Nothobranchius furzeri: one gene and its partners. The protein of the gene in region 1 purifies or fractionates together with the protein of each later gene. This does not show direct contact. Links are inferred from orthologs where the notes say so. Each region holds a gene or a part of one and is shown in the gene's direction. Other genes may lie near its edges.

The links. Proteins that work in one complex are often made in the same cells at the same time.
Region 2: the proteins of exoc1 (region 1) and exoc7 purify together in Homo sapiens (affinity purification with mass spectrometry; 4 studies listed by BioGRID and IntAct, counting the BioPlex papers as one, with this or other methods). This does not show direct contact. The link is inferred for Nothobranchius furzeri from reciprocal best matches to the Homo sapiens genes EXOC1 and EXOC7.
Region 3: the proteins of exoc1 (region 1) and exoc3 purify together in Homo sapiens (affinity purification with mass spectrometry; 5 studies listed by BioGRID and IntAct, counting the BioPlex papers as one, with this or other methods). This does not show direct contact. The link is inferred for Nothobranchius furzeri from reciprocal best matches to the Homo sapiens genes EXOC1 and EXOC3.

What each region holds. Positions count from the first base shown.
Region 1 is NC_091748.1:40,504,342-40,507,990, forward strand, and holds part of exoc1 (exocyst complex component 1), read left to right. Parts: intron 1-169; coding exon 170-397; intron 398-485; coding exon 486-618; intron 619-705; coding exon 706-815; intron 816-1,811; coding exon 1,812-1,961; intron 1,962-3,123; coding exon 3,124-3,232; intron 3,233-3,649.
Region 2 is NC_091756.1:53,832,359-53,836,564, reverse strand, and holds the start of exoc7 (exocyst complex component 7), read left to right. Parts: upstream 1-1,330; 5' UTR 1,331-1,466; coding exon 1,467-1,526; intron 1,527-1,686; coding exon 1,687-1,752; intron 1,753-2,389; coding exon 2,390-2,574; intron 2,575-2,670; coding exon 2,671-2,776; intron 2,777-4,206. UniProt on the Homo sapiens protein: Component of the exocyst complex involved in the docking of exocytic vesicles with fusion sites on the plasma membrane.
Region 3 is NC_091751.1:65,615,978-65,620,059, reverse strand, and holds the start of exoc3 (exocyst complex component 3), read left to right. Parts: upstream 1-1,206; 5' UTR 1,207-1,227; intron 1,228-1,276; exon of another isoform or gene 1,277-1,423; intron 1,424-1,889; 5' UTR 1,890-1,949; coding exon 1,950-2,093; intron 2,094-2,259; coding exon 2,260-2,479; intron 2,480-3,069; coding exon 3,070-3,242; intron 3,243-4,082. UniProt on the Homo sapiens protein: Component of the exocyst complex involved in the docking of exocytic vesicles with fusion sites on the plasma membrane.

The sequences.
Region 1 (3,649 bases):
TTCTCACGGTGTGGGGGCTTGTTCCCACACCTGCCCAGTAATAAAATGCAATTGATGACTTTAGTTGTTGATGGCAGCGAGCGGTTGGATTTAAAATGATGACTTTAGTCGTCAATAGCAGTTAATGAGTTAACCAAAAAGGCATCTCTGGATCTGTGTCTTCCTAAAGGCCAACATCCAGTCCATCATGGCATCAGAGAAGCAGGTCAATATCCTGATGCAGCTGCTGGATGAAGCTCTGACAGAGGTGGACACCATTGAGGGAAAGCTGAGCAGCTACGAGGAGATGCTCCAGAGCGTCAAGGATCAGATGGATCAGATCTCCCAGAGCAACCGTCTCATCCAGATCAGCAACACCAACAATAACAAACTGCTGGATGAGATCCAGTTCTTAGTGGTGAGGCGCTATAACACACAGTTGTGTGTGTGTGACACTGAGTCACAGTGTGTTGTTAGATGACTCTGGTTCCTCTCTCCTCCTGTAGAACTACATGGATTTGTCAAAGGGGCACATCAGGGCTCTGCAGGAAGGAGACCTCACCTCCCCTAAAGGGATAGAGGCCTGCATCAATGCTTCTGAAGCTCTGCTGCAGTGCATGAGCGTGGCTCTGCGGCCAGGTATTGAGTAACTTCTGCAGAAATAAATTGACTTTGTAGTTTTTTTTTAGTGTTCAATCAAATGAAAGTGTACGTTACTTCCTTCAGGTCATGAAAAGCTGATGGCTGTGAGGCAGCAGCAGCTTCTGTTTGCTGAGCTGAGAGACACGTTTGCTCGCCGCCTCACCAATCACCTTAACAATGTGTTTGTTCACCAGGTGAGTGCTCAGTCTTGTCCTTTACAACCGTGTTCCTACTCAGGCTGGACAATTTCTTTCATGTGGATTTTCTGTACCTTAACTTAAAAGCAACAACATGTTAAATGCTGCTGTAGCATGACTGGCTGTGGCTGGTCACATGACCTTATGTCATTTTTATCAGCTTTGTTACACAGAAACAACAAAGCTACACAAAATATCAGATATCTGGTTTGACGTGGCTTTTTTTCTGTTTATATACATCAGAGAATAAGCACTATGAAGCTACGGGGACAGAAATCAGACTCAGCTTTTGATCAGCTTGAACAATGAAGACCTATGGTCTCCTGGCTCTTTTTTCTCCTTGTGAGCTTCCTTTTTAGCTGACGCTCTCTTCCTGGGCTTCCTGTGTTATTTTCCTAGCAGCTGTGTCCCTCCCGCTCACGACTTTCCTTGTTGCTCACTTTGAATCATCCCACTCTGCTCTCTGTCTCTGTGTCAGTTCAACCACTTCAGTCATTTCAAAATGACCATCCCTCAGTATTATAGGTCCTCCTGTCTGTCACTTCCAGTGAGTACCCTCACAGCAACCCCCCACCTGGCCTCTTCTCGCTGTTTGATCTCTCACTGCTCACTCAATGAGGCTTCTTCCTCCAGCGTTTTCTAATGCATGAGGTAGATTTCTAACTTCTTAACATCCCTTGTCTGATGAGGAGCTGATGAGGCTGTGTCCATCCTTCGTCTCCTTCACCAGCTGACTCAGCTGAGGGCTTTTCATGTTTGCGTTCTCACATGGCTCACATCACAGAAGGCTGTGCATGTCTTGTACTAAATGAAGTCAAGAACACACGTGCTAGTCCTGTGAGGGAGTAAGGGGAAGCATCAAATCCTCAGAGGTATAAAATCTGTGAGTTTGTGATAAACAGCAAGCTGGAGTGTGTGCATTTCTGGATGAAAATGGATTTTACACTCCTATAACGTGTTGTTCTTCTGACCCTAACGCTTGTTTTTCTGAAGGGTCATGATCAGAGCTCCACCTTACCTCAGCATGCAGCTGAACTCACCCTGCCCAAACACAGCCCCCTCCACAGGGACCTGCTGCGCTACGCCAAGCTCATGGAGTGGCTGAAGAACACCCACAGGGAGAAGTACGAAGGCCTGTCCAGGGTCAGTCTGGTAGTTTTTAAAAATATTTATTTTAAGAAGGAAAATCTGTGGCAAATGTATATGACGTCTGCCAAAAACATCTTACTGCTTTCCTAGTGGTTAAATATGCAAATGTTTGAAAATAGAGATGATATACCAGTGAGCCAAAGCATCAGGCCAGTGTTTACCATTTTTATATCTTACATTAGTCCATATACCTCTTTAGGAGAGCTGATTTTATAACGGACGTGCACAGGCAGCCCGGTGCTGCTGCTAAATGTTATTAAAGGTTCCATATCGTGCTATTTTAAACCTCTGAGAGCAAAGGTAGGCTCAGTTCATGATAAAAGATTACTGTTGGCACTACTGAGGTGTCACTTATTTTAAATACGAGTTATTTCCATCAGTGTGAATTTAAACCAGCAAATAAAACATGTTTCAGTGAAACTCCGCCCACGCCTACTCTGACCAAAGGGCCTACAGACGAGTCTCTTGCCGCGTTGGCTACGGTAGTTCAGAGGTCTGCCTGGCAGCTCGTGTGCTGACGTGGGTTTGAATCCCGGCGGTGTCGGCAGTAATTTATTAAGCAGTTTTTATATTTTAGTTTTATTGATTATTCCGTGAAAAACGAGAGGTATTTTTCATTAAGAAACAAAAATATCACATTCTAAAAAGTTCCAAGAAGTGGATTTTCCATGATATGGCCCTTTAAATGAAAACATCTGCCTACAAATGCTTCGTAACATTATTTTTTACAGACATTTTTTATTTACTCACTTTAAATGTAACATGTGCTCAGTTTATTGATGTAAATACTAAACAGTGCAAACAAACTAAGATTCAGCAGTTGATTAAATGTGGGTTTCGAGCACTGATGGTGGTGACGTTTTAGCATCCAGATAAGGTGGGGATCTGAAGCTGTTATCTTGTGGTGCTGGGACGCCGGTTCAATAATAAAAGCTTCTTGAATCTCGAAACATCTCGATATTTACCATAAAAGTTGGCCTAAAAACGTCACCCGACAGCTGACTATGACCTCTGTAGTTCGACATCGGTATTGACATCATAGAAACTCAAATCGGCTGATCTCTGTTGAATAATGGCAGCTACTTTGTGCTGTCCAGCTGGTATTGTGTGTGTGTTTACGTCGTACATGTGAACAAATATCCTTTCTCCTTTTCAGACCTACGTCGACTACATGAGCAGACTGTATGAGCGAGAAATCAAAGACTTCTTTGAGGTTGCTAAGATAAAGATGGCGGGTACCTCCAAAGAAGCAAAGGGAAAGTTTGGTAAGAGTCCTGCTGTGAAGCACACCTCTGTGATGGAGGTAATGTCGGCGTCTGACTGATAGTTTTCTGCAGGATCATTTCTTTTTGTCTCTAATTTATGTATAGAATATTTATGATGAAAGGGTTAAACAGAGCTTGTCATGTACAGCCTTCCCACAACATATTTAAACAAAATCATAAATGCCTCCCAAGTGTTGAAGCTGTATTTGATGTTTTATCTTTCAATAATGCTCCTCTTCCCTTTGCACCAGACGTTTTATGTCAGATCTATTTATTATCTGAATAGCAGCCTTGGTTAAGCTTTAGTCTTGGCAGAGTCATAGGAGCCTATATTAGCTTTTGTCTCAGAAAACAAAAGCAAGACTTGGTTTTCCAAAGGTTGGTCCAAACAGCTGCGCCACTGCAGAGCACACGAGT
Region 2 (4,206 bases), on another chromosome or scaffold:
TGTAATTGTAAAATGTTAATCAGAGCGTTTGTATGAATACATTTTGCATCCATAACAGTGTGTTCAGATTTGTAAATATGTATACAAACTATGAGAACCAACTTCTTGTCTGCAAATACATTTGTAATTTTTGCGAATGGTGTGTTTTTCTTATTAACCCATCAAAACAATCCTATTAGTCATGTTAAACACACCTGTGACCAGTGTAAATCCAAATGATCTCCCCTGGAGGGAGTCAATTTCCCTCAGCTTGTAATGCTGTAGTTAGCTGGGGTAAGCACTCCACAACTATAGTGTTTATAAAAAAAACTTTTATTGTGTTAAGATGAAGGAAAGGCATGTTTGGGTGAGTTTCGTTCTTGCTGACCCCTAAATGTCATTCAGGACTATTCAATTCTGCTTCTGGATTGCTGGTATCCAGCATGTTTTAGTTTGAACTGCTGCAGCACACCTGATTTCAATCAGCAGGTGATTAGCAGGCTTCTGCATAGCCTGATGAACTGCTGCACAGGTGATGCAATCTCTGAATCAAGTGTGTTGGAGCAGAGAAATTACTAAAACATGCTGGATACCGGCCCTCCAGACCCGGAATTGAATATCCCAGCTATAGGTTTTTATTTGGAAATTTTACAGGAGTAGCAAATAAGATAATGTAATGTTATGAATGTAGTTCTCGGTTGTTTTTCTACTCTTCCACTTTCATAATAATATACCAAAAAGAATAAAAACAAACACAATTTAATTGAAATAAATAGGCTAATATTTAGAATCAAAGTGAAGTTCCGTTATTACTCCACTGGAGGTCGACAACTCGTTCACTGCAGTTTCATTAAAACGGTTATACTTTTATTTGCTGGACTCGCTCTAAATGATTTGCTGTTAATAATTAGTGTAAAGACATGTTTCCTAATTCAAGTATCGTGGTTTAAATTCAATTCAGATACCGGAAAAGACTAACACGCCTCACCGGATACTTTCTAAACATGCCTTCAAAATAAACTCAAACATTTATGATGTTTACAAGTAAACAAATTAAACTACAAACAAATTGCGAAACCTTAACACCATTAAACATACTCAAATTTCTAATGTTCAGTTTTACATTTAATAGCTCAAGGCTTTAAAAATATCGGATGAAAGCTAAGTGCTCCCCTGCCGAAACCTTTCTATGTAGTGTACCCCGGAGTTTTATCTGATATAAATAGACACAGATATTTAGATCTAGAGTCAATATTTGATGTCAAATGCTCAGTAAAATGCATTTTCCGATCTGATCTCCAAGTGTTGATTTATTCTGAAATGACAGCCGGAAGTTACGGCTGTTGGGGCTGTCCAACCTAGTTTGTGATTGCTACCTTTAGCTTTTAGGAACTGTGGCTTTTGCTAGTTTTTTTTAATGACCTAAACAGGTCTGTAATCGCTCATTCCTCCTTGGAGACAGCCCTTTGACGGGAACTAACTTCAGGATGATTCCTACTGAGGACGCGTCCGCCAGGAAGCGGGAGATTGAGGAGAAACTGAAGCAGGTCAGACTCCGATGGACAGGAAGGGGCTTTATTCTGCCCAATTCGGTGCTTAAAACGAACAATAACAGAGTCCAGACACCAGCTGAGAGCAAACTCTGATCGTTCTTAGTGTTTTCAGACTGTTTGTGGTGAGCTGTTGATTTTCTGTGGGATGTTACAGGAGCAGGAGACGCTGTCATTCATCCGAGAGAACCTGGAGAAGAGCGATCAGCTGACCAAAGGCATGGTAAGAAAACAACACAACATCCGGGTCACCTAACGAACAAACGTTTCAAAAGTTACCAATAAAAAATTATAAGGTCAAAGGTCAGTCTAGGTTTCAAGGGACACGTTTCGTTTAATATACAGTTATTAAAGCGACCAATCAAATAAAATCCCGTTTAAAAATTAAAGCAGAAAACATAAAAAAAGATAAACATTTAAGATTGAAAGTTGAAAATAGTGACTTTACATGTGTCTGAAATGTTTCAATGGATGTTGTTTATTTGAAACTGCTATTTAATCGTAAATTGTTAGTTTTTTGTCTGTTGAAACCTTTTTATTATTTTGTATTTTATTTATCTGAAGCCCACTTTGACTAAACTAAGACAATTGTTTCCGTTCATGTGGGACACTGCTAAGAGTTTATTATATATTATATATAAGTATTTATGGTTGTAATCTAAACTCGATTTCTAATTTTATTATACATGAATCTATGACTTTTTTTTTCAATAAAAGCACAAACTATCTGTTAGGTTCCAATGATTTAAAGGGATTTTGTTCTAAACACAAGTTTTCTTTTGTCTGAACCGAACTAGAAGCCCTATATTTATATTCTCAGTGTTTTGAACCTTTTGTTATTTTCTTTCTCATCCTGAAAGGTTTCCATCCTGTCATCGTTTGAGAGCCGCCTAATGCAGCTGGAGAACTCCATCATCCCGGTCCACAAGCAGACAGAGAACCTGCAGCGACTGCAGGACAATGTGGACAAAACTCTTTCCTGCATGGATCACGTCATTAGTTATTACCACGTGGCCAAAGACACTGACAGGATCATTCGAGAGGGGTGAGGACTGTCTCTGGAAACATTAAATGGTTCTGCTACTGGTATTGAGTCATAACGTGTGTGTGCGTGTGCGTGCGTGCGCTTGTTGTGTCTCAGACCTGCAGGCAGACTGGACGAGTATCTCGCTTGTATCGCAAAGATCCAGAAAGCTGTGGAATACTTTCAGGACAACCACCCTGACAGCCCTGAGCTCAACACAGTGGTACGATCTCATCCTGAATCTGTTTGTCCTGCTACTAGGACACATTTGACTGAATCCTCTCATTGGTGCTAAAATAATTTATTCTGGTGGTGGAAAAAAACAGCCGAAAGTCCAAATCAAAAATAGAGTATGACCTTCAGAACTCCTGAGAAACTGTTGATCAAGATAACTTTAAAGGGAACATAACTTTTTTTCTTAAATTATAACAGTTCTTTGGTTGATACCAAATATGTTTATGAAGTTTTTTTGCACCAAATCCCTCTTACGTTAAGTGATTTCAGTAGTTTTATTCTTGACAGTTTTAGTATCTTCCAGAGTGAGCCATTACGTTGCTTTAGGAAAACAAGCTGTAATTGGCCACGCCCACCCATCCCACTCACTCAGGCTGCTATTAGCTGAGAAGCTTCGATATCCAGGAAAGGATCAGAGTAACCCCTACTGCTCAATGGAAGCATCAGCACTGCAGAAGAGCAGCAGAGCGTCACTGCTTCAAATAAAACCCATTCAAATCTATGGGGGTGATTCAAACCAGCCGCGACTCGGCCATTTTCAGATGCATCTCAGAAGTGGCACACCGCACCGCTAAAGATGGGATCGTGTTCTATTTTTGCCGCGAGCCGCTTCCGGGATGCAACAATTAATGTAGTGCTAGACAGGAAATCACACACGATTTCAGTGTAAAACCCCAGTAATTTTCAAAATAAATGTATATTGCAGCGATGCGACTTCACATTTATGTAGATTACATCAATACAAGCGACCCAGCGGCTTATTTACTCCCTGCATCATTCCAGAAGTGCAGCTGTGTGTTTTTTATGGCTTTTGTCCTGGCAGTTGAGAGGAACAACATCATATATGTCAACAAACGTGATTTCCTTCTTTTTGGTTTAATGGCGGACGACATAAACTTGAGGGATTTTGTGATCTCGCGAGTTAAGCAAGGAGGATGGTGGAAGTCTCGAGGGATTTTGTGATTCCGCTGGTTGAGCGAGGAGCACAGCAGAGAAGCCGCTTTGCAGCTGATACTCTCCCGGTATGCTCTGGAGTGCAGCAGTTGTTGCAAGTAAGTCTTTCTGCTGCTGCTCCGTGCCACAGATGCTTCCAGTGTGCAGTAGGGGTAAGCCACTGGTCCTGCAGCAGCAGTTCTCTCTTGCACATGAGGGGTAGTTCTAATCTACTTTCCCTGTTTGTGACATCACAATTGGGGGATTTTTGAAACAGCTTTTTTTAGGCACTTCATTTTTTAAACCAAACGCTGACAGAAAAGAGATGGATGGATTTTTCATGTTTAGAGTGTTCATTTACAGTTCAGTTCATTTTTATTTCAAAGATTTCACACATGTATCATTACAAAATATAATTCCATTATTTGTTTGAGAAGGAGTAGGCAGAAGTATTTACTTATTTGTCCCTACCCCCAAGTTTTACCT
Region 3 (4,082 bases), on another chromosome or scaffold:
AAGGAAAAAACAAGAACACAAGGCTAGTGGCCTTGACGGCCAAGAAGAAAATAAACTGCGGTTAAAAATGAAGATGATTTTTGTTTAAATTCCTTCATTTCTGTGGTTCTATTATTTTATTCGCTCCAGAAAGTCTGACGGACCTCCTCTGAAACCTCTGGACTACAAAGGGCCTGGACGTCAGACTCAGACCATCACAACTCCCATCAACCCTGGGGAATCTTCTGTGGAATGTCCCGTTTGTCACTAGTGGACCTTTTAGTTACTCACCCTCCTGATCCGCGTACGTTTCCCCATCATGCAAACCAAGATATTTCAAACCTACAACTGTGATAATGACTTATGAAAGCCCCACATTTAAAATCTCAATCAATCAGAATGTTGTGAAAAGGTTCGATATTCTAGACTCAAAGTGTCACGCTCTAATCAGCTGTTGAATCCAGAACCCCTGCAGAGAGCCTTTAGATTGCCTCTCAGTCTAAAATGGATTACTGAAATAAAGAGACTTTTACACCATAGTCTTATTTTTCCAGTTTCACCAGCTATGATATTTGAAATATTGCCCTCCTGTGACCTCTCACCTCCTCCTCCTCCTCCTGTCGTTTCATGATGCTGAGTGTGTCAGGCTGCAAAAAAAAAAAAAAAAAAACAGTGTAGGATGAAATGGATAGTTATTGTGGGAAAATAAGTGGACAAAATGGTGAAGGAAATATTAGAGAAGAAATTTCATCCAATCATTGAAACGACTATTAAAAATAGGGATACATGTTTAATAAAGGATTAAACTTGGTTTTACAAGAAAAACAAAGAAAGGTTGAAAACAAGCACCCCGGAATCAAACTGTTAAAAATAAAACATAGTAATTAATGTATGCCACCTATTAAGGTGAAATCCTGGTCCAAAGCTATTCTGTTATTGTTTTGCTGTCTTCCCAGTTACTTTTGTTGGGTCATGTAGAGGATGTGTCCTCGGGGCGGTGATGGACGTCTCATACAGGACACCGACTGCTAGATGGCGCTATTTACCTTCAGGCAATGGAGGTGGCTGCCGTTAAACGAGAAGGAGAAGGAGAATCTGGCCCTTGGAGGTGTGACCGTTGCAGGGACAAAGTTGAGCACGTGCCGGTGAGGTGTCGGGGATATGGGAAAGTCTGGTGGGACCACAGCTGGGAAGGGGGGGTGCCAGTTGGACGTCAGGGAAATGTGGAGGAGTCCACACTTCAGGTCGGTAGGTGGCGGTAATAAACCTAAAAGTTGCTTGTTAACCGCCATAAAACGATAGAAGAAGAAGAAGAATCTAGCCCTTGGTGGGCGGAGCCAAAAGCAGGAAGTGGAACGTAAACATCAAAACGGCTGTCTAGCTTTATCGATTTTGAACTTTAATTGTATCTGTTGTCTCGTCGTTCTTTCCTGAACGTCTAAAGGTAGGAGTTTGTCTCGATTGTTAATGACGTTTTGTTTTAATAAACCCGAAATATCCTAAACATTTCACCGTCCGTGGTTAGCATAGCGGTGCTAATGACAACCGAGAGGAACTGCTATGGTTCCGGTACCGAATGCGTTCTATGGAAGTGTTTTCCAAGCTGATGTTGGTCCTGAAGGTGGTAGCTAACACATCCAGAAGGGACCCTAAAGCTCCGGTCGCTGCTGGCTATCTTGGTCCTCAGCAAAAACCTTTGTGTCCACCATTGTGTCCACTGTCCCAGCTGTTAGACTGCTGTGTCCACTGTCCCCGCTGTTAGACTGCTGTGTCCACTGTCCCCGCTGTTAGACTGCTGTGTCCACTGTCCCCGCTGTTAGACTGCTGTGTCCACTGTCCCCGCTGTTAGACTGCTGTGTCCACTGTCCCTTCCATCAGCCCGAGTGATGTGCTGTTCTCTCCTATTTCAGGAGGACTCTCATTGAGTCCCCAGAGCTAGTCCCACAGAGCTGGTCCAGCTTAAGGACAACATGGAAGAGACGAGTCGGGAGGCTGTAGCCACTGCAGTGCAGCGTGTTGCTGGGATGCTGCAGAGGTCAGACCAGCTGGATAAAGTGGAGCAGTACCGGAGGAGAGAAGCCCGTAAGAAGGCCTCCGTGGAAGCCAGGCTGAAGGTAACCAGTCCACAGACAGGTGCTGTTGAGATGGAGGGGGCGGGGCTTGATGTGCTCTGGAGAACCAGTATTTACTGTGTTCAGAGGTGTTGTTCTACTTAATCATGTGCTGCAGTCAGGAAGCAAGTGAGTGACAAGTTTAGGGATTGTGTGTGATGTCCTCCAGGCAGCAATCCAGTCTCAGCTGGACGGCGTTCGAACAGGACTGACCCAGCTGCACAGTGCCCTGCTGGATGTCAAGGACATCCAGAGTTCACTGGCTGATGTGAGCAAAGACTGGAGACAAAGCATCAACACTATCGAGAACCTAAAAGATGTCAAGGATGCTGTAGTTCAACACAGTCAGCTGGCCTCTGCTGTGGAGAACCTCAAAAACATCTTCTCTGGTGAGTCTGGTCCAATCACACCCACCCCCAACCTCCGCAGCCCCAAACAACGCAGGAGAGCCAAATGAGCCGCTTTGATTAGACCCCCCCTAGCAACAATAGAAGATGAAATCTGATTGGATGGAACAGTGAAAATCCACAGACATGTAGCAGCCATAAGAAACATTCCTAAAATGAGAAAATAAAAACAAAAGAAAGTAATTCCATTAAATTTCATAGAACAAATATCATTTAAGTTGTAGGTGTACCATACCACCTTTATTTCTAAGGCACGTTTCAAAAACGACATGTGAGTCGACCAAAGTGCTGCACAAAACAATCAAAAAACAACATCACAATACAGACAAGAACAATCAGTAAAACACAATAAAAGCACATTAAGAGTCATTGTCCAAAAACCAATCGGTACAAGTGAGTCTTCAGCCGAGATTTACACTGGTGATGCTGGCCCAGACTGCACACCACTGGTCTACATAAATCATCTCTGCATCACACACACATTGTCCAGAATGCAGCAGCTGGACTTTAAACTGGAACTGAGCATTTGTATTGGTGGATCTCTTGATCTGATGTTTTTGTCGTGTCACCAGTCCCGGAGATCGTGGTGGAGACCCAGCAGCTGATAGAACAGGGGGAGCTGCTGCAGGCCCACAGGAAGCTCATGGAGCTGGAGTGTTCGCGGGACGACCTCATGTACGAGCAGTACCGTATGGACAGCAAGAACACCAGCGACATGCACCTCATCTCCATCTATTTTGAAGATGTAAGTTCAGTTGATCCCATCAACAGTTCCTCGGGTCATCTCTGGAAATCTGAAGCTTTCAGATCAGCTGTTTAAATTCAAACAAAAAGTAACACCTGATCCTGGTGTAATGATGGTCAACAGAAACGTGCGGAGTCGCTTAAAATCTCAAAGAATTCATTCATTCATCTTCTGTAACTGCTGCTTTCTGTTAAGGTGACAGCAGCATCTGATTCAGCCCTCAGCCTCCTGCTGGGGTTATCATTATCAGCAGTAATAAAACACACATCTCAAATATTATTGGAAGTTTAGGATTTTTTTTTAAATGTTTTATTATACAGGTCCTTCTAAAAAATTAGCATATTGTGATAAAGTACATTATTGTCTGTAATGTACTAATAAACATTGGACTTTCATATATATTAGATTCATTACACACAACTGAAGTAGTTCAAGCCTTTTATTGTTTCTAATATTGATGATTTTGGCGTACAGCTCATGAAAACCCAGAACTCCTATCTCCTAGCATATTTTATCCGAACCATAAAAGAAAAGTGTTTTTTATACAAAAAAAGTCAAACTTCAAATAATTATGTTCAGTTATGTACTCAATACTTGGTCGGGAGTCCTTTTGCAGAAATGACTGCTTCAGTGCAGCGTGGCATGGAGGCGACCAGCCTGTGGCACTGCTGAGGTGTTATGGAGGCCCAGGATGCTTCGATAGCGGCTTAAGCTCATCCAGAGTGTTGGGTCTTGTGTCTCTCAACTTTCTCTTCACAATATCACACAGATTCTCTACGGGGTTCAGGTCAGGAGAGTTGGCAGGCCAGATGAGCACCATAATACCATGGTCAGTAAACC